Danio rerio: one gene and its partner. The protein of the gene in region 2 interacts with the protein of the main gene of each other region in a biochemical or structural test. Links are inferred from orthologs where the notes say so. Each region holds a gene or a part of one and is shown on either strand. Other genes may lie near its edges.

What was found. The genes of interacting proteins can lie anywhere in the genome.
Region 1: of the proteins of mcm4 (region 2) and dbf4, one has a biochemical effect on the other in vitro, tested with the Homo sapiens proteins (2 studies listed by BioGRID). The link is inferred for Danio rerio from reciprocal best matches to the Homo sapiens genes MCM4 and DBF4.

What each region holds. Positions count from the first base shown.
Region 1 is NC_133191.1:47,578,733-47,590,194, reverse strand, and holds the end of dbf4 (protein DBF4 homolog A), read right to left. Parts: intron 9,850-11,462; coding exon 9,802-9,849; intron 9,698-9,801; coding exon 9,628-9,697; intron 9,533-9,627; coding exon 9,465-9,532; intron 9,078-9,464; coding exon 9,032-9,077; intron 8,916-9,031; coding exon 8,870-8,915; intron 8,793-8,869; coding exon 8,661-8,792; intron 8,572-8,660; coding exon 8,451-8,571; intron 8,330-8,450; coding exon 8,214-8,329; exon of another isoform or gene 8,071-8,213; intron 8,024-8,070; exon of another isoform or gene 7,600-8,023; intron 5,307-7,599; coding exon 4,502-5,306; 3' UTR 4,034-4,501; downstream 1-4,033. UniProt on the Homo sapiens protein: Regulatory subunit for CDC7 which activates its kinase activity thereby playing a central role in DNA replication and cell proliferation. Required for progression of S phase.
Region 2 is NC_133199.1:39,260,897-39,272,358, forward strand, and holds part of mcm4 (DNA replication licensing factor MCM4), read right to left. Parts: intron 11,176-11,462; coding exon 11,074-11,175; intron 10,988-11,073; coding exon 10,892-10,987; intron 10,770-10,891; coding exon 10,674-10,769; intron 8,082-10,673; coding exon 7,943-8,081; intron 5,932-7,942; coding exon 5,711-5,931; intron 5,565-5,710; coding exon 5,444-5,564; intron 1,990-5,443; coding exon 1,730-1,989; intron 1,517-1,729; coding exon 1,151-1,516; intron 1-1,150. UniProt on the Homo sapiens protein: Acts as a component of the MCM2-7 complex (MCM complex) which is the replicative helicase essential for 'once per cell cycle' DNA replication initiation and elongation in eukaryotic cells.

The DNA of each region.
Region 1 (11,462 bases), on a different chromosome or scaffold from region 2:
TCAAGCATTAAATGAATAAATATAGCATAATAATAATACAAAAAAATAAATAAATAAATATAATGCTAACGAATGACTTAATGTGATATATTTTAAGCCAAGCAATACAACACCAAAAGGAAAAGCACATACACAAAGCTCTAATAGCATTACACGCTTCACCAAAAAACCAAAAGTAGCCCACATTTGCCAGTTTTTTGTCTTCATTTTATCATCGTGGCCCAGGTTTTAAGAGCTTTGTTTTGCTGAATAATGGATGGAGTAATCAGTCTCAGAATTGGTAATCAGATCAGTAATCAGTTTCTGCCATTTCTGTGCTACATAGTAATATACATGTAGAAAAACAAAGCAATGATTATTCAGGCTGATTACTCCAAGACTGGAGCCGTTCATTTGTTCTCTCTGCGCCCTTTGTGTTTCCAAAGCTGTGATGCCACGAGATGCCTCAGGAGGCCTAAGCATCAGCATCTTCCAGAGAAGTGTGCTGTTTTGGTTCATTAGATCAGCTCTAAACGACTGGAATTATTTGCATGGTGCTTTCAGATCACACTGAGTTATAAAACCCAGAGAGAGAGAGTTAAAAGAGGAAAAAACATCAACATCATTTCAAGAGCAGCGCGTCTCCAATGGCAACGGGAGGCGAGAGAGCATCCCTGACACACACATTGATGACATCCGAACATGAGATGAAAAACACACACCTGTTTACTGTCAGATCTCATTCGGATCCGTGTGTTCACAGCATCATGAGCGGTCTGACGGTCTCCGTCCATTTGGTAGACTAACCGGACTGGTACGGTGTTCTCTTTCCCGAGGTACCTGGCGTCATCACGCCGAGCCCTCGTCTTTACCAAGGCGTCTCCTGGAAGCATAAAAACACGATGGCCTGTTTTTACCAAGTAAATATTCCCTTCTTAATAAATAAACGTATGAAATAATACATATTAATTAGTTTTGGTAAGATAAACTGCGCGTTGGGGTCGTTTATTTAACGCTATATACATTTCCCAATTGTTTACATGACCTGAAATGGATGCTCCATTGCTAATACTCTTAAAAAATACAATCTAATTATTTGTCATCGAGGTGAAATACATCAGAAATACACCCTTACCGTAATGAGCCAAAGACATGCTGGTATGTACCACAGAGCTCATGAAGAGGCACAGTAAGGAAATCCCCACACGGAGAGGCATCGTTCCCGCATCCATTCGATTCAGAAAAATCGCATTTAATCACATGTATCCCAATTATTTTCGATATACGCGTTAAATCCCAAGTTAGACGCGATGTTCGGTCTCCCTCATAAAGGCACACGCATCCTGGCGCGCGCTGGTTGCCATTAGTGACGCGAGCGCGAGCAGCCTCTGCATCGAGACGCGGGTTGCGCGAGCGGCGGGCGGATGACTAGTCGTTCTGGAAAACTAAATTCAGGCCCTTTTTTTCTCCGCCGAGCACAAGCCACCACCTCCTCAGCGAGACATCAATAATATCCAGCCGCCTCACTGCAGAAACGCCTCATAAATATACATGAGCGAGCTGTGCACGCGGGATGACGGGTAGTGTAGTGTGAGCTCGCTCCACCTGCTGTCACCTTCTGCGCCAAACAGAATCATCCCATAGGGAGAGGGACAGCAGTGATTTACGTTCAAATAATGTAAATTTGCATAGTATAGTACTAAATGATAAGGCATACCATAACGCATAATGGGGAAAGTCACAGAAATGTGGCTACGTTCTTATTAATAGTGATAACAGTATGCAATAATGTATATAATCATGCAACAATAACTATTTGCGCATTCATTCGAGTTTAAATTAACCAGAGAAATGAAACCAAAATAAAAAATAAACAAATAAAACAAAACATATTGTGCTGACAGGAAAATACACAATTTATTTTGCATAAAGAATGTAAAAATATAAACACAAACAGCTATGGAGTATTTTGTACACATAGGCAGGCCCGTAGCCAGCCTGGTAAAAGGGGTGCTTCTTTTTTTCTCCAAAAGTGAACTGTTTTTGCAGTTATTCATCTATTCATTCATTTTCTATGTAATTATGATATTTAAATACTCTATTTAGTGACATTTTAAGCACTACTTTTAGCTGGATTAGCTTGTTGGATGCTCAAAATTTGATGTACAAAAAATTTCCAAAATATTTATAATAAAGAAATTTTATATATATATATATATATATATATATATATATATATATATATATATATATATATATATATATATATATATATATATATATACTTTTATATGTATATACTATATATAAATATACATATATATATATATATATATATATATATATATATATATATATACACACACATATATATATATATACACACACATATATATATATATATATATATATATATATATATATATATATATATATATATATATATATATATATATATATATATATATATATATATATATATATAAACTTAATTTAGCTTGTTTTCATTTATTACATACATACCAAACTGGAATCCAATCCTAAATTGGCTAACCATCGTAACCTACTTGGGTCGCAAGTTCCATTGTTACAACAAACATCGTTGCAACAAACATTCGCAAACTGCATCGCAAATTTAAACACAGCCGTGGCTCATGATGAAAGCTGTAGATGACCTATTATTCAAAAGTGGAATTTACGTTACATCGCCAAAGCTTGTGAAAACAAAAAATATAGCAAACATTAATGCTTTTAATTTATAGTAGGATATTTATTAGGTATCTGTACTGTATGACAAGGGCCTGTTGGTTAGAACATTTCTGCAATGGTTTGCATGTGTCAAATTGTTAAAGTAGACTTTTCAAAAAAATGTAAATTAAATAAACAATATACTTGATAATAAAAATAATCATTACTATTATTATTAAACGCACCCCTGGCCAGCACATTCCGCTTTTCTCAGTCAGAGCTTGGCCGTTTGAATAAAAAACTATTAATACATAATAAAAAATAATGTAGATCTTCACGATTTTTTTCTAGCCTCTCTTGAAAATTTATGGATAACAACAACAACAACAGTTAACTTTAATACTTAACTTTTGGTGCTTTGGACCTTTTCAACAGCCAATTTTTGTTCTCTCAAGAATAAGGTGCAAGATTTGGAATAAAAGTTAAGCTACAGTTTTTCTATGTAACAACAGCATAGGTCAATAGTGAAAGCTAACATAACTTATGTCATATTCTGCATGGTCTTATAACCTTCGATGGGTTATTTCCACAGTTTATGATGGGAAATTAGTCAACATAAGACAAATGAGAAAACAGTAGCAAAAATTCTGGACCAATGGCAAATTCTGAACCTTTGTCAGTGGGGTGTAGGTGGCTGGAGGCCTGTAATAATAATTTTTGTATTACCTGTTGGAAATCAAATCTCTGTAATTACAGTTTCTTTGCCATTAACACTTAAATGCTAAGACAAAACAAACAAAACTGTAATGACCTAAATTATTTGATATTTTCTTTATGGTTAACTGCACTATATGCACTCCTATTGACGTGGAATTGTTTGCATAAAAATTCTAGTCCTTAGTGCAGAAATCATTTACTTAAGAAAAAAAGCCTAATAAATGTTGATAACAGAGGCTTAAAATCTTCATAAAGACTTTATGAACAGTTAGAATAGTGAGGAAAACTAACAAAGAACAAAACTGATCTGAAAGATCCTATTTCAACAATGTAACGGTATTTACCAACTGTGCAAGTGGCCATATTAATTTCTTTTAACAGGCATTTGAACAGTTTAATATATATTGAATAATAATTCAGTTGAAAAAAAAAACTGAAGACAGAGAGAGAGAATAAATGAAAACTTATACAGTAGTCAACACTCGAAATGCATCAGAAAAGTTGAATGGGTGTTATTCAATAGCTTTAGGACAACTTTAATGAAAGGTTTTGATCCACTTCAAATGTTGAATGCTATATACGGTTAGTAAAAAAAAAGTGCAAGTGCAAATGACTAGTGCTCTGGAAGAAAGGTGATGCTTACAAAACATTGGTGAATATTTTCTATTTAATCAAGAAAATCATTCCCAGACATATATAAAAGCTGTTATATTCTTCAATCAATATACAACCAATGTACATACTCACTGTGTGTCTCCACGTCTTTTAGCCTCATGTATATGTATATACATAAAACACACACACACACACACACACACACACACACACACACACACACACACACACACACACACACACACACACACACACACACACACACACACACACACACACACACACACACACACACACACACACACACACACACACACACACACACACACACACACACTTATTCACAAGATATTTTTCATATCTATAATCAATTTTTTTAAGGCCTCTACGGAGTGAATTTGGTTTCATCCTACTGGTGAAAGAAAGATCAGATCTATTAATATATAATTTGGCAAAGTGAATCATATTAGAACACACATACATGCGTGTTCTCCACTTGTTTTTAATCTGAAAACCCCATAAACTCTTCATCCAAACTGTCACTAGACTGAAAGAGCTTCCATAAATCCAGCAGAGAAGCTGGAGGCTTTTCACTCTTCTGCACAGACTGATCACGTGAAAAAGACCTCAATGATTCTCGTCTGTGACTGGATTCGATGTGCGAGGCTGATACTTGCTTTTGTCTTCTGGGTCTGACGCTTCGAACTTTTCTTTGCAGGGAAATAGAGGGACTGTCAGCGTCCGGTTTGGGTTCTGTGCTGGTCCAAAGAGCTGAATTTTCAACTTGATTTTCGGGCATACTTTGTGCATAAATTATTTCACTGCAGTTAGTCCTAAAGGTTTCAATTCTGGTTACTGATTCGTAGTTTCTTTCACTGAACTGCTGAGCTGGGTGCACGTCAGGATTTGTCCTGTTTTGCTGCTCTGTCCTGCATTCAAGTGTATAAGATCCATAGTTCTGTTCTCTGCTGAGAAAAGATGCACCCTCAGACTTATGTAAAGCAGATTGGGAGTGCAATTCCCATTCAAAGGATCCACGCTTGGACTGGGACTTTTCTGGAACATCTGATTGTTCACACAAGCTGTCCCTGTTGCTCCAAGGGAAATCACTCTGGCCCCTGCTACGTTTGCGAACCAGCAGAGGTTTTTCTATGGTCCGTTCTATAAGAGGCTGCTTTGGTGTAGAGCCAAAAAGCAAAGACACCTCGCTTTCCTGTTTGCAATCAGCATTCACAGATCCCACATCTTGCATTGCTGACAGCATTCCTCCAGCATTCAGAATAGGAGTTGATGTGCTGCATTTCACCCTAGACCAGAGAGACATTAATGCGATGCTGTCAAAAGCACAGTAAACAACAAACAAACAAGGGGAAAAAAAGGATTGGGTATTAATAATTTTATAAACGATTCTATTAATAACAGGGTATACAGGAATCTGAGAGTGAAATTCAATACCTTTTAAGACTCTTTCCATAGATTAAGAGCTCATCGCAACTTTTTCACATCAGGTTTCACATATTTTACAGTATAACAATGCACAAGATAATTTATTCACCCGACTACCCATAGGATAGGTTCAGAATAAAGAGACCTACTAGGGGTATAACAGATCACGGTTGATCTGTGATTCATACGAATCACAACCCACAGTTCTAAACATATGTGGCCTGCGGATAAATACATTTTTACTGGTATAACCCCCTATAATTGTAGCAATTGCAGAGAGAGAGATCTCCTCTCACATAATTCAGATCACATATATGAAAGCATTTAAGCTTTCCTGTAAAATATAAAGATGGCGGAAGTAGTTGTGATGGGTTATCCGAGATGTGGTGGGTTTCTTAGGCTATTAAAGGTGTTTTCTGTCACTACTTGTTTAGCCTGCATGATTAATTATTTAAAGTTCGGGATCTCAACACCCACACAACATAAATTATAAATGATGATGATTTGTTTATTAATCCTTCAAATCGCTGCATTCAAATCTGTGTTTGAAAAACGCAAAAATCTAAAGAGAGAAACAGGTTTTAGTCTTTTGAGTTAGTTATGAAGTTCCAAACAGTCAAATAACACAGAAGTACTGGAATAACAGTTTATAGTTTAGATAAAACCACTGATGTTTATGGTAAAGATTAAAATCACCATCATATGCATTTAACAATGCTCAAAAATGAAAGTTGTAGGCAACAACTACATTATTTTACCAGCCGTCACAAATATGCCACTGAATAAATCTTTAAAAATAACAAATCTAGCAATGAAACAAAGTTGAGTGAATAACTGAATCATTTATTAAAAACAAGATTAAAAATAAATATGGGTTGTATGAATTATAATGTTAGATTTATACATTCAGTGTCATCAGCAACAATAGTAACAGTAAATTTTTCACAGTACTGAATATTTTACAATTTATTTTTATTCCACTGATTATTTTTTTCATTTTATTTTTAAAAGAAATACAGGTTCTAAGTTCTGTTTGTTAAAACCAAGTGTCTTGCAGTACTGTTTCTGTAATAAATGAAAAGCACATTATATTAGTCTCGTCGCTTTTTTGGCTGATATAAAAAAATGGTCCAACCCGTGACAAAAAAAAAACCCCAAAAAAAAACATCCAAATGGTGAGATTTGAGATTTATAACGCCACTAATAATTACAAAATAATAATCAAACCAGTAAAAAAAAACAACAACAAGATGTGGATTTTTAGAAAACTCTTACATTTAAATGAATTAATGAAACTTTAGACTCCCGTTTAATACAACTCAGGTATTTCATCTATAAATACACTGATCTTGATTTTTTGACCCATTCTTCATGATATTTTTCCATATTTTAGAATTTTAGAAACCAGAAAAATACTAACAAAAGGAGTGACTAATTTTAAAATGTTAATTCATTTTCTTCCAGCAGGTGTCGCCTATACAACAGCATGTATAACCAAAGTAGCGATGTCAAATCTGGCAGAATTTGATCAATTTTATAAACTACACATCACCCCAACATTCACAGACTAAATTCAGGAAAAATTTAGTATACAACTATCCATTGTATAAATAAAAAAAACTACAAAATGTAAGACTTTGTTAAATAGGTAAAACTTTAAGGGCCTTCATTTTTCTCTGAATTGATTTACCAACATTTCATACTTAAAGACTCTGCGAACACCCTACATAAGCTTTAGAATGATTTATTTCTGTATATAACAAGCATAGCGCATGTCACTTTTTTGCAATGAAAATATCTTAAATATAACTCAATCAACTAATCAGTAGGTACACTGCCTTATGAATGGTTCAAATGAACTGCTATTTACTTTTTTATATAATAAATCACGTCTGCAAGTGTCATTTATTCATTTACAAATTTAAAAGTTACATAAAGTTTTGTAAACATAGCAAAGTTTCTTTGCAGATTGTTTTCATTTTCAAATAGCAACATTACACACTTTCACCTGTAGATCGGTTGTTCCGAAACAGGGATTAAAACTGCTAGTGTTGCTCTTGTTTCTTTGTGCTGTTCGCTTTTACATCACACTGTAAACTTTCTAAAAAAGTCATGTGCGATTAAACTCTCCTTACATTGGAAAGAGTTCCACGGTTTATTTTTCCCGCTGCACTTTATATTGAATAGTGAGACCCACAGACATCTCACCAAATACAAATCTAAAACAAGACTTTTTCATATACAGCCGTTGGCTAGAATTATGCATTATATGTTATACATTATAGAGAAACAACAGATAAACCAAAAATGCAGTTCGTCAATTTTCCTAACAAATAAAAAGCTCTTGTTAATAGTTCAGCATGCGTTCACTTTTCTATTTGACATGAAATGCAGATATACCGGTAGGAATGACATCCTGCCCTACTCATTATTTTCTCTCCATATTTGCCAATTACATATCCATATTACACTATATGTGATATAGCCTGGTTTTTTGGATATTTTTGCTTTCTCACTACACTCAATCCGCTCTAGAATTTGTTTCAATTGAGCTGAGACCACCTCATTCAGGCGATGTCTGACAGATTGTTTTGGAATGGATCCAAGCGCGACTGCTGGATTCACGTATGTGAAACGAACCGCACTGAAGAGGCAAATGTGCAAGGTTCCAAAACAAAAGTCTAGGTGTGTAAGCAGCACCCTCAATTTATAAGTTTAAAAGCATGATAGGAGTCGAAGACAAAAAAAAATGTATGACATGTTTGTACCTTTTGCAGGGTGTGCTAATGTTCACAAGGTCACAGGTCAGTCCTGCAGTGACTCGATCCACGACTCCATACTCGTTACTCTTAGAAAAAGCCTGATGCTGCTCACTATCCAGATGCTGGTGGTCAGAAGGTTAAACAAGTGAGCACAGATTACACACATTTTATGCAAATTTTGATTCAGCTTCAGCTATTCTATTTGATTTTCAATTAAAAGTGGCTTTCTATTTTGACACATACCGCCTTTAAGTTTTCAAATTTGACCTCGCAGCACTCACAGTACCCTCCTTTCCTCTTTTCTCTGCCTTCATGACCTCTGCGTCTCTCTTTCTTTCCTCTCGCTGCTCTTTCCCCAACAGACCTGAAGCAAAAGACAGACTCTCATTGACAGACACACACAGAAAAAAACCTTGAGGATTTCAATAGGGTATGTTACTGACTCTGCTCTACCTTTGTTCTTTTTGTTTCTTCTTTGGGTCATCCTTTCCCTGTTCCTCCATCAAAAATGGACTGCAGGGCGGAAAAGACCGAAGGTTGCACACAGGCATGTTGGACAGGGGTAGATAAATGGGACGGTAATGCCTGCAAAAATCATCGTTGTCAAAGCTGTTGAACCATTCATATGAAAGTTAAAAAGAAAACAAACAACGAAAACACACCTGCTGGAGTCTTCCACTTTCACAAATGGTCGACGAATTCGTCCAGCTGCCAACAGAAACAGATTAAATAAATGAATAAAAAGCAAAGAAAGCATGGCTTAATATATTATTATACAATTATTTAACTGAAAGTTGCAACACAATAAAAACAGATGTACTTACCATTGTGTCTGGGATATGAGTTTTTTTCTGTGTGCTGAATGCTGGCCTAAAATGTAGAGTGATAAGCTAACTTTAAATATACATAACCGATTTATAAGCAACTCTGCACAGAATCTGTTCAGTGTTTAAATTTAAGGCCCATTCACATTAAGAACAATGGTGATAACTATATCTGTGTTCACACCAGTGATACCAATGATATTGTTGCTCAATAGTATCATTACAGTCTGAACTCTGCAATTTTATATTCAGAATGATTTTTAGAACTATTTTATATACACATTATGGTTATAGTTAATATCCTTGGCGCAAAGAAGTCTTCAGTGTTAAAGAGAGGGCAGTAAACTAGCAAACAATTTAAGGGGTAGCCAAAACACAATCAGAATATAATAGTTAAATGGCCGATGTTAATGGTTGTCAAAAAAATACTCACAGCTCCTTTTGCTGCTGGACTTGCATTCAAGACTTTAGCTTTCTTCTTGTCAACATATGAAATAACATCTGTTTGAAAGTCAAGCAAGAACCATCATGAAAAACAGAAACCAAAAATCCCCCTTCTGTAACAATGCAAGGATTAATATTGATAAAGACGTTACCGTCAACATGCAGGACTTTGACCCCCCATTCAACAGCATTGGCCAAGATCCCGTTCATCTGAAAACGTTCCTAAAACAAACAGAAAACTCTTGATCAGAGGGATGATAAACTACTCAGGACTACAGTTCATTCACAAACAATTCAAAAAGGGAACTTGATAAAGATTGACTCACTTGTTCTTTAACTCTTTCCACAAGCGATTTGCCTCGGCTTACAGCTGCCTGTGAAATTCCAACACAAAACTTCAGTTCTCACACCAAAACATAAACTACCCTTAAAATAATCATTTTATTCAGCACAAGAGCATGAAATAGTTTAAAAAGTGAATGTAAAGACAATTAAAATGTAACAAAACATTAATATCACATTTTATGTAAATAATTAAATTAAATAATTTAAATAATATTATAGTGGAACAAAAAATAACATAAATGGTTTAGAACTTTTAATATTTATTTCAGATCAAAATTGGCCAACAATCAAGTCTAAACAATAAATTATTTCTATTAGTTTATTATTTTTCTAATATAACTGTTTACATAGTTTAAACTCGAGCTTTATTTACATCTTTCCATGGTTAAAACACTGATTCAGTAATTATATAAGATGTGATAGCCTATATTTCAGAGTATTTCTTTCAATAAACCTTCTATAGTTCATTCATGTTTTAATCTTGGTATAGAACTGTAAATGAATCGCTTCCACTTTCATGCTCTCTGCCCGGATGCCGACTCATGATAAGCTGATGATAAGGAAATGTTACAAGTAAAATTGTTTGTTTGTATACTTTATTGTCCCTAAGGGGGATTTCTGTGGACTCTTAAGTATTTCAGCAAAGCCCAATACAGAAAAAAATACATATGCATTCAACAGTCTGATTAACACTGGAATAAAAGTTTTTAAACCTTATAAACTTGTTTGTTTGTAAAGTTGTTTGCCAAAATTTACTAAGACATGATTAACTAGTTCTGCTACCTATTGATTATGTTAATTTCCACATGACAGAACAGTTCAATTTAGTTTTAGTTGCTTTGATGTAAACTACTTTGAAAGCAGAGTTCATATTATCTCCTGCATTCTTATCCAATCATTTATGTGGTTGTCCCAACCCTCAATTCTCTCACACACACGCATGCACGCACGCACACACACACAGTTATGTACCCCCAGAACTAACACAAAAACAGGCCCTATAGATGAGAAATGAAAACCACTTCAGTGAGTTCAATTACAGCTAATTATTATTTTGCTGTCAATAACGATAATGATGTTGTTAAGGAGGAACATGACTTAAGTGATTTGATTAAACATTACTGAAAAAACTGTTAATAAGTGTTTATTTATAATACAATTATTCCCATCCCTGGATATATTGAATAATTCATTTTTAAGAGAGACTAGAAAATGCCTTTTTCACCAAATAAATGCAAGATTAAAAGGCATAACAGATTTTATGCTATCATATTATTCAGCAATGATAATAACTGTATTAAATGAATATTAAATAATACGAACCTTTTATTCTTGCATAAGGATTTATATAAAAAACATTTTATAGACACCAAACTAGCAAAAAGATATTTCTAATTCAGGGATCCAAGACAAAACCACCATCTAGGGCTGGGCGATATGGCAAAAATGCAATCTGGGTTAATTATTTTCCATATTAAACAATAACATTTTATATTTCAATATCAATTGTTAATTTATCCTTGTTTATAAGACTACCCCAACAATGACTGAAGCCACAAATTAGACGGTTCATTAAATAGCATAACCTATTTTCGGTGGCCGATCATTTTTGGTAGCTCAAATATAAACACACTTCAAGATT
Region 2 (11,462 bases):
ATTAGTATTGGTTAGGTTATTTTCAAAAAGTAAGACTTACTGAATCTGAGACTATTTATAGGCCTTTTGTTCATGAATTCTGACTCATTAAAGTCCATGTAATGATAACTACAAAAACATTTATTAATCTTAGGTGATGTTAATTTGTAGTTAATGCTTAATTTATTGAAATGCTTTCATTTTCTTTATTTCTTTTTTTCAATTTCTCATTGCATCCTGGCCAAATCTGCCCACTGGCCTCTGTCTATCATGGCCTTCTAACCATCCTCATATCATAATGGGTTCATGGTCTCCTCTCCACCAATCAGCTGGTGTGTGGTCTGGCACAATATGGCTGCCATCACGTCATCCTGATGGATGCTCCACACTGGTGGTGGATGAGGAGACCCCGCCCCCCAATGTGTAAAGCGCTTTGAGTGTCCAGAAAAGCGCTATATAAATGTATAGAATTATTATTATTATTATTATTTAAATCTAACGTCGAAATTGCTTCATTAAATGTGATAAACAGACTTATTTGGTTGTATTTTTTGCGAACGTTGACATAACTATAATAGGCGACGCAGTGGCGCAGTAGGTAGTGCTGTAGGTAGTTCTGTGTGGAGTTTGCATGTTCTCCCTGCGTTTGCGCGGGTTTCCTCTGGGTGCTCCGGTTTCCCCCACAGTCCAAAGACATGCGCTATAGGTAAATTGAGTAGGCTAAATTGTCTGTAGTGTATAGTGTGTGTAAATGAGTGTGTATGGATGTGTCCCAGAGATGGGTTGCAGCTGGAAGGGCATCCGCTCCATAAAACATGTGCTGGATAAGTTGGCGGTTCATTCCGCTGTGGCGACCACTGATTAATAAAGTGACTAAGCCAAAAAGAAAATGAACGAATGAATAACTATATTGCATTTTCTCATTCTTGATTTTAACGAATTATTTTAACGGTTTATGAAAGAGAATTTATTGTAAAGTGTTACCTATTTTACTTTATCATCCTTTTGCAATTTAATGTGTTTAAAACATTTATTTTATCTCAACATGTGTATATATAATAAAGCATTTTTGTAACTATACTTGTTAAATTACTGCAGCTTGGGTCAATACTGTGATGAAACGTATATAGTTAAAAAACTAAGGTAATCAGATACGTATAAGCCTATGCACCTTAGCAATAGAGAGCGTCTGCTGCTCCATGACCTCGTGCAGCACAGATCTGGTGTTGTCGCTCATCTTGTCGAACTCGTCGATGCAGCAGATGCCATTATCGCTGAGCACGAGCGCTCCGGTCTGCAGGACCAGCTGTCGGGTTTCAGGATCCTTCATCACGTAGGCTGTGAGACCAACGGCGCTGGATCCTTTCCCGGACGTGTACTGACCGCGAGGAACCAGGTTGTACACGTACTGCAGCAGCTGGGATTTACTGGTGCCCGGATCACCACACAGCAGGATGTTGACTTCAGCACGGAAGTTTCCTCGGCCCGTCTGAGTGAAGTCCTTACGCGTCCCGCCAAATAACTGCAACAGGATGCCCTGGAAAACATCAACACCATCAACTTGTGTCCTGACAGCATATTCCTTGATGTAAAGGTCTCGTGAAGTGCTTTAAAATGTGCATTTTTATTCGATGACTGACGTAATCTCAATCAACACATGAAGACGGAGTGGGACAAGTTCGCAAGTGGAGGAGCAATTCAATTACACTCAAAACAACTTCATCAATTTAGAGTTTCCCATCATACTGACCTTCTTGATGTCCTCGTGTTCGTAGATGCTGGGAGCCAGAGCAGAGGACAGGCGCTCATAGACGTCAGGTTTAGCGGCTAGCTCTTTTAGCAGAGCGACTCGTTCTTTAGTGAAGAGTTTCTGCTCTCCGTCCTCGTCCAGTCCATGCAGACGCTTCTCGTCAGTCTTGCGGAAGTGAATGGCGTCAATGTGGGTCTTGTAAACAGACTTCACCTGGCTCTGCCGTGGGTTCAGACGCATCGGGGCAGCTCTGTAGATGCCTGAGCACAATAAAAGAAGAGTTGCTCAGTCATTTTGCCAAACGAAAGACAAAAACATGAGTGTAAAAAAATACAAAAAAAATGTACCAAAAAAAAAAAAAAAAAAACAGCCTATGCCGGTTCTTATAAAGGATTCAGTCAGTGTTTTCATTTTGTAACCTAAGCCCCCGTTTACACTGCCAGTTAAATGTGACCCAATTCCGATTTTTTGCTCATATGTGACGCAGATCGGATCTGTTCTACGACTGAGTAAACACAAAAAAAAAAAAAAAGGCATGCATTCGGATGTTCAGAGATCGGTTTCAGGCCTCCTTCGCATTGGGAAATAAATCAGATTTAGATCGGATATGTGACAATGCGACTGTCATGTAAACAGGCAGATCGGATTTATTGAGGCATTCCGTTCTGTACATCATTAAACTTGCGACAATGTGGTGCTTCTCCGCAGTTTAATGACAGAAAGAAGAGCGTGTGTGGAGATGCAGACGCGGTAAACAACATCAGAGGAAACACAGAGGAGGAAGTGGTCAGTCGACACCATTTGCTCCCAGCAGACCCGAGATCTCTCTCGTACCCACACATTCCTCTGAATGGTGGAGGACATCATAAAGCATATAAACCATAAGCGCAAGCTGCGATGACGGCCCTTTTCCTCCTCCACCACAAAATCATTTTAAAGTTGGGCGAACTTCGTGTTGTAACTTTTGCTTTTTGTCACTATTAATACACATAGAACAACTTTATTCTCTCTAACACCAGTGCGCACACAGGCAAAGGCTACATATTTAACTACACACACACACATCAGTGCCATACCATTATTACTACGTGGGGGTAAATCTGGACTAAACCATTCACTGCTTATACTACACTTCGCAGAGCTAAAAACAAGACAATTTCTTCCATCGTGGCTAGTGTGGCATAGATGCTAGAACCCGGCTTTATGCATGCGCGACAACATAAATTGTATGGCAAGTGTAAACGAGTGAATTGGATATGGGTCACAATTAAAACAACGTGTAAACAGACAGGCAAACAAATCAGATATAGGCAACAAATTGGAATTGGGCATCAAGACCAAACAGTGTAAACGGCGCCTAAATTAATAATTTAATTGAAAAAATTGTTAGGGCAGGCCTATTTATTTTATTCATTTAATTTAGTTTATTCTGTTTTTCTATGCTGTTGGAAATACTGCAGGTGTGTGAAGATACTCTGTTGTTATGTTCGCATGTTAAAATAAATCAGTGTTTAAAATGCAATATTTAATGTGTCAGACACAACAGAGACGTCAAATTTTTTTAAACTAAATGCTAATTTAATATTAATATGACCAGTTAACAGGTAATATTTGATTAATGAGCGGCGGTTGTCGGTAAGCAAAATTAACCAAAATGAGCATCCCTACTTCACAGGGGCGTAAATCCCAGGGGGAAAAGGGGGGACATGTCCGTTCCTATCCGAGGCTTGTAATTCTCCATAAATCTGCTGCATTAACGATTGAAATTACTTATTTGGGGTGTCAAAATTAATTGTTTCTTCGGTGCACCGCGATGCAGACGCGGACAATAAGGTATCGGTTCCGTAATAATCATAACCGGTTATTATGTACTGATGTCACGTCATTGATCTCCTATGCGCTCTGTCACGAGGGAGGTGAGCGCGAGTATTTTTAACACTCAGCCAACTCAGGGCCGGTCTGTGGCATAGGCACCATAGGCAAATGCTAAGGGTGCTGTATATCCAGGGGGGCGCCAGAAAGGAGCGTGGTTCAGTTGGTTTTGTTTTCGATATTCCTGACACGCATTCAGCTTTAGACGGCATTAACTCATAAACCTCCTACCCTAAAAAGATCTAAAGTGTGTTTCCTACAAAAAGACAAAGCTGGTTATGTTCCACAGCTGTCTTTCTTTTTTTTCGCTCGACATTACGAGCACTGCTCTGTTTAAGCCCTCGCAATACGTGTTTAGCCGGGAGAGCTCGCGTGGAGAGGAGCTCTCAGAAAGGGACCGTCTGAAAAGTGCTTTTTTTTCTTTTTTCTGCTCCGCTCAGCGCAAGCTCTCCCTGTTGCAAGGGCTTAAGTGTGTGTGTGTGTGTGTGTGTGTGTGTGTGTGTGTGTGTGTGTGTGTGTGTGTGTGTGTGTGAGCGTGTTTCTTTGGTCCTGTCTATGTTTGTGTATGTGTTTGAATGAGAGACAGTGTGGTGCTGTGTGTCTGTGTGTTTATACAGACAGCTTGTTATAGCCTCCCCCCTAAAATATAACACTGTATATGGAAAGCATCGTCAATACACCGAGATATCGAATTGAACCGAAGGCATGATAATCGTAACCGAACCAAACCGTGAGACCAGTATAGGTTCACACCTCTATTACTTATCTAGTTAACGTTAGCTTGTTGCTAACACTAAAGCCATTTCCCATGCATTGTTTAATTTGTGACGACTTGGCATAATGTTAACTTAACATTAACGACCACAATTAGCATATTGTTTTGCTGTGTATTTGCTAAATGAGCGCTGTGCTACACTGTGCACACTGTGCACACTAACCCCACTGTATTATTCTATAATCAGTTTCTATTCAGTTTTAAGTAACTCAATTAATTTAAAATTAAAATGTTAACCTTTTTTAGTTATTTGTTTTTGTGATTATTTTTATGATAGTTTTGCATTCTTTATGTAAAGCACTTCGAATTACCATTTAAATGTGCTACAACATAAATAAACTTGCATTGCAGTGTCATGTAATGAATAAAATGACAGAGAAAATTGAAATAAGATAATTTTTCAGTGCAGCTAAACGCCAAGTACAAAAACTTCACGTATTAAGGCAATTTGGCTTTAAGAATGAGTGCTTATGAAAATACTAATGTCACATTATCAATCACAGGCAAAGGAGAAAGAAATGACTGAGGAACAGGCAGGGCAGGGTCAGTCAGATGTACAGTGTCAAGTAAGGGTGTTGTGCTTTATTTAAGGGATCATGACAATTCTTTAGGGATGAACAATTTTTTTATGTTTTCGTAGTTGTGGCTGTTTAGCAGATGAACCTCGCAGGTTTAATGATTTACAATATGATCGGTCATTTTAACAAGTGTAATGTAAACAAGTTAGTTATTATGAGTATGGAAAACGTCTTTTCCTGCATTTATTCTGCTTCAGGAGTCAGACAGTCGACTGTAAACAACACAACAAACAATGCAATAAATAGTTTTGAAGAAAAATTTGCTTTGTCGTTAAACCTGAGAAAAACTTTAAAAATAATCATAATGACGTAGTCTCCACGCTATATTAATAATGATGAAACCATTTTTAACTGCGGGGAGACATCTTTATTAGTACAATTCGGCTGTATTATTTGTGTCCCCTTCAAAAAATTGCTGTCAAAAAATATTGTCCCCCCCCCTACTGTTAAATCAGATTTACGCCCATGCTACTTCAAATAAAATCATACCGGTGATGTTGACTCGGTCTCCGGGCTGCACTTTGTCCACCAGGTCGTTGTGAGCGTAGACGACTGTGGTGTGAGGAGTTTGACCCGCAGGCATGTCCTCCGGAGACTCCTGCAGCTTTATCTGTCACACACAAACACACACACGACTTCACAATACATCTGTTTTGCACAATTGCATAAATACCAAAATTATACAAATGAAACAAAATTCAAGAGCGTAAAATGATACACAAAATAAATGCAGCTGAATAGAAGTGAGATGCCCACCATTTGTTTGTCGGAGAAGACGGAGCGGTTGTGCACCAGTGCCATGCTGTGTGTGGTGTTGCAGTTTCGGCAGACGGCGGGTTCAGCGATGCGTCCGCGATCCACCTCCACACGCGTGTTAAACGCACAAACCTGACAGCGGAAAAAAGCCTCCTGCATCTCCGGGATCAGCTGAGATGTACGGATCACCATCCCGCTGATAGTGATGAGCTGGTCAATGTCTGACAGGAGACAGAAGAGTCACATGTGTACACTTTATCAATAAACTGTAAGATCTGCGTTCGGTTTGTTAAAATATACATTTAAATAATACAATTCCAAAAATCCCCAAATTTTCACTAATTTGGTGCCGTGACCCGGATAGAGACTGAAATCCCTAAATTGTCATCAATTGACCCTTCGCTAAGCCACAACCAAAACCGCCACCCACCAATCGTGGCTTAGCAACCGTAGCTATGTGCAGGGGCTCTGTCAAGCTTTCAAGTGAGGGAAACGAGCCATAGCATTGTGCATATTGTTACGAGTAGTGTAGGCTTGTGTGTGGTGTTTCTCTCGCTCTCTCTTTCTCTCGCTCTCTCTCTCTCTCTCGCTCTAAGTATTCGCAGGTGCAGCGGATTACATTGGGTCGGATCATGATTGGCGCTTAGATTGGCGGCGGCTATAAAAACCCGCAGAGAACATGGGTTCGATGGCTCCCCGCTCTCTCTCGGTTTCCCCGCTTGTATTCAGTGGAGAACGTGATCCAATGAGTGTTTGCTTGTATCTCTTTGTGGTTTTGTGAGATGCCGTTGTGTTCATTTTTAACCGGCGATTGAAGCCCGGTTTTCTGTCTCCCTGTCGGGCTTGGAGCATGTAGGGAGGTTTGGTGCCTTATTTGTTATTTTCGTTTTCTCCTGTGTTTGTTAGTAGGGAGGTAAGTTTTCTGTATTTTATTTTACTTGTTTTCTAGGGAAGTTTAATCTAATTTAGTTAGCTTGGTTTATTGTCATTTATTTTGGCTGAACCCCTCCTGATGTTATTTTTGCTCCTTATTCCTGTAAATAAATCATACTTCCTTGATAATTCTTAGTGGTTGTGTTTTTGGTATATATTTTGGGGAGAGAGAGCGCGGGGGCACCAGAGATTATATTTTTAATTCCTTGTTATTTTGTTATGTTTTGGTTACATCTCTTTTTGATTAAGGATTTTTAATTTAATTCGTAACAATATAGATTGTGTAAATCTGACACCTGGTCTCTTGAAAGTTTGGACAGGGTGGTGGAATTTTTTCCCTTTTCAAAACCAAAAACTCAAGGGGAGAAATGCCAGAGTGGATCAAGCTCTGTGAGGGGCGCTAAGGAGCAGATTTAAGTTGGTTTTGTTTTGATATTCCTGACACAATCAGTGATAGACTGACGGCAATAACTCACACTTACCCTAAACAGATCTAAATTGTTTCCTACAAAAATACAAGGTCGGTTATGTTTCACAGCTGTCTTCTTTTTTTTCTTTCGCTTGATATGAGAACTGCTCTGTTTAAGCCTTCACCATAGTAGTCATATAAAAAGCGAATAGGTCATGGGTTATTGTTCCCAAATTATGAATCTGAATTATGTAGAAGCACTGTCCATGCGTGTTTCCTCGTCGGTTAGTAACGCTTTATGTCATTGCACAACAATTAGCCTATCAGGCTTTTTGGCTAAAAAGAAAGAAATCCCCGTTTAATAAGTTATTATTAGATTATATTTAAATTTCACCTCTCCTGCTTTGCATGAACTAAGCTAGGCTAAGCTAGCTTCAATTTTGATTAAATTATTCTCTAACTGGTTGCCTATTATGTCGCGAATATACCCCTGTAATGCATAGTGCAGCCTATTTGTGCCTTTCTTTCTTGGATATCTCATTTGTTCGCCAAAATAGGACTAACTATATCCCTGGGAATGTCTGACACTGGCGCATACACATTGTAATAGACGTGCCAGGCACGAAAGCTTGACAGGCGTATTAACAGTAACTAAGGAAGGCAGAGCTTAGCAAAGGGTCAATTTGGTGCCGTGACCCGGATAGAGACTGAAATCAAGAAATTCCTCACCAATTTGGTGCTGTGACCCAGTGATAAGACTAAAATCACCAAAGTCTTACCAATTTGGTGCCGTGACCCTGATAGAGACTGAAATCTCCAAAATCTCACCAATTTGGTGCCGTGACCCAGGTATAGAGCATTAAATCACTAATTTCCAGCAGGTTCCTTACCTTCAGGATTGAGGTTGCGCATGTTTCTGGTTTTAATAGCGCTGTAGGGTCGCACTTGAATCTGATGCTCCAACACAGAGTCTGGAAAACGATCGAAGAAGAGCTCATTGACAGACATGTCGAAAGTGGGGATGACTTCCTGTGAATGGAAAAAGTTAGAAACTTTAGACAAAGTCACATTTTAATAAATCAGAGTTTAGGTTTTTGTAGGCATACACAGCACTGCAACACTTATTTGACTAAAAGCACAAATCGCTAATAATGAGAATTATCAAAACAATCTTTAATGTGATTTATTATTATAAACCTAAAGGAAACCTATTATGCCCTATTTTGCAAGATGTAAAATAAGTCTCTGATGTCCCTAGAATGTGTGTGTGAAGTTTCAGCTCAAAATACACACAAATAATGTTTTAGAACTCTTTAAAGCTGCCCGTTTAGGCTTTGATCCAAATTGTGTCATTTTTGTGAGTGTCGCTTTAAATTTAAATGAGACTGTACTCTTCTCAAAAGAGGGTGGAGTTTAAAAACACCTATGTCACCATAGCAGCAGATAACTCTAATGTCAGACGGCTGCTTCTCACTCAGGGCTGTTTATGCTAATGAGGGAGAGATGGTCACTAATGGGCGGGGCTTCCCCCCCTCTGATGACATGTACAAAGGATGAATGTCAATCAAAGTGTTTCTGTTGATTGTTTGATTATAAAAACTAAAACCCATTAAACTCATAAAACACATTTTTACCATTAGAAGCTGGTTATATTCACACAGTTACCACACAACTGTTTCTGTTTTTGCATAAAAGGTCTTCTTTAAAAGATCTTTTCTTATCATTTAAAGTCTGTGAAATCCAAATGTGTTCATTTTGCTAGTGCTATTGAGTGTTATTCTTTATGTGAACAATCAATCCGTGCAAGTAATCTTCAAAGTCTGGCCTAGAGCTGCACAATTAATCGTAAAAAGATCGCAATCTCGAATCGACCCCCTAGACCAGTGGTCACCAAACTTATTCCTGGAGGGCCGGTGCCCTACAGATTTTAGCTCCAACTCTAATCAAACACACCTGAACAAGCTAATCAAGGTCTTACTAGGTATACTTAAAACATCCAGGCAGGTGTGTTGAGGCAAGTTGGAGCTAAACACTGCAGGGACACCAGCCCTCCAGGACCGAGATTGGTGACCCCTGCCCTAGACGATCTTCATCCAGCATTTCTATGATTCTGCCAATCATATTTTCAAGTTCAGGGGAAAAGCAAAGGCGGCTGCACGAGTCTTTTCATTCTTTCACATACATTGCTCAGCAACATGGACACCTCCAAATGATGTTGAATGAGTCACATACTGTATTTATAAGGTATAATTCACCTAAAAATGTCATTTTTGTCTTCATATAATGCTGTATTCAAGGCCGGGAAATCAAATGTGACGTGAACTATAGTGCGGGTGTGTGCCCTACTTGCGCGTCTCCTTTAGTGAACAGAACTTGCTGTGAGTAACGGGTAATAAAATTGTAAATAATATTCCGTTTGTGGCACAGAGTGATCGCTTGGGTGCCGCGTGTGAAGTATGAACAGCACATGAAACCGAAAGTGTGCACTTTATTTAAATGATCATATCACATTTTAGAGTTATGACTGCGACAAGCATTTGATATGTTTTTCTTTTATAGCGAACACACAGTTGTGCATGAAAATAAATGTTTAAAGAGTCAGTATAACTACTCTAGCCTATATAATGTTGATTTTACCAGTGAATTAAACGGTCGAATAATGTTGTCAATGATTGCATGCATAGGCCTATATCTCAAACATAATTCAACATCAGAATTATTATAAGTAGAATGGAATTATTTATAGAAACCAGTAGACCTACACATAATACCAATATTGTTGTTTTACCATATGTTTGGGAAAAAACAATAATAATTGCCGACTCATAATAACCTTTATTTTACATCTACAGAATCGTGAGAGAATCAATCTTTGTTTTAACCCAAAAAAATAAAAAATAAATAAAATAAAAATGTAAAAAAAAAATTGCGATTCTCATTTTAGCCAAAATCGTGCAGCTCTAGTTTGGCCATTTGCTTTTCTAGTGGCGTCTGTTTGATGCTTTATGTACTTAACCACGCCCCTCTTACCATTAGTGAGGGAATGATGCGCAAAGAGAAAGCCCCGCCTCCTGCTCAATACTGCATTTCAGTTGGAAGTACATCAACATACTGATATGAAAATCTTTCAAGTAAAGCTAAATTGTGAATTGTCACATCACGCTTCAGAACTAATTCTGATGTGATGATATGGTGCTCAAGAAACATTTCAGATTAAATAAACAAATATTAATGCTGTGAGTATTTGATGTAATGAAAGTTCAAAAGAATCACATTTTTAACATTATAAAAGCCTTTACTGTCACTTGACCAATTTAGAGGACTTCCAGTATGCAGTTTGGAGAGTGAGATGTGTACGGGAGTCACTCCGTAAATTTGATCTAATTCAAACAGTTAAAAAGGACATTTTGGGCTTTTAATGATTTAAAGTGACGTCCACAATGGTAAAGATCTTTCAAATCCAGCTAGAACCAGCTAGTTTTCCTCATCAGTATGCCAAAACCCAAGCATGTTTCTCCTGATCCTGCTAAAAACTGACGACGACACCAAAATGGCCGCGCTCTCCTCAGGGTTAACGCTAGCTCTTTACTACACAGTTGCTTCTTTTGTTGTAGATCTCACCTGTGGATAACAGATGAGCTGGCGGTACAGATCAGCATCAAATGTCTGAATATGAGTGCAGTTCACATTCAACACCGGCTCTCCAACAACACTGATCTGAAACACACACACACACACACAATATTTATATTATAGAAGACATATTAGCCATTAAGGATTTTGCATGACGCACTATAATGCGAGCAAGTCTTCAGTGTGACGAGGGCTGCTCTTCTTACCTCATCCAGTTTCTGCATATAAAGCGGTTCATTGAGATCCAGACCAGCGTTCTCCTCTTCTCTCGAGTCGGGGTCTGTGAACTGCTGAAGGAAACGCTGCAGAGGAAACACACAGACTCTCAATATAAGGTCAGTTTGACATGGAAAAACAGCTTGAGTTCAGTCATAGACCTTCAGCACACCTGAAACTTCTCCTTGCAGGTTCCCACATTGACATCAGTCCCCCAGATCACGAGCCTCTGTCCTGCACCCTGATCTCCGGCCACTGCTGCGTCTCCAGAGGCCTGAACATGAACACAGATATACATTAGCTTAAGACTAAAGATAGTTTTTATAAGCATATGTTATTAGAGTATTTATTAGCATAGTTTTATATAAAATCATTTACTTTAGTTTTTATCAATATTTATATTTATATTTTTAGTATTCAGCCTTATTTTTTGTACTTTTGTGATGTGTTTTATATATGTTACACACTTACACATACGCATTATTAGTTTAATCTATGTTTCAGTCTTTATTTTATTAAGCAAATTAGTTTCATTTATCTATTTACTAATGTTAATTTCTG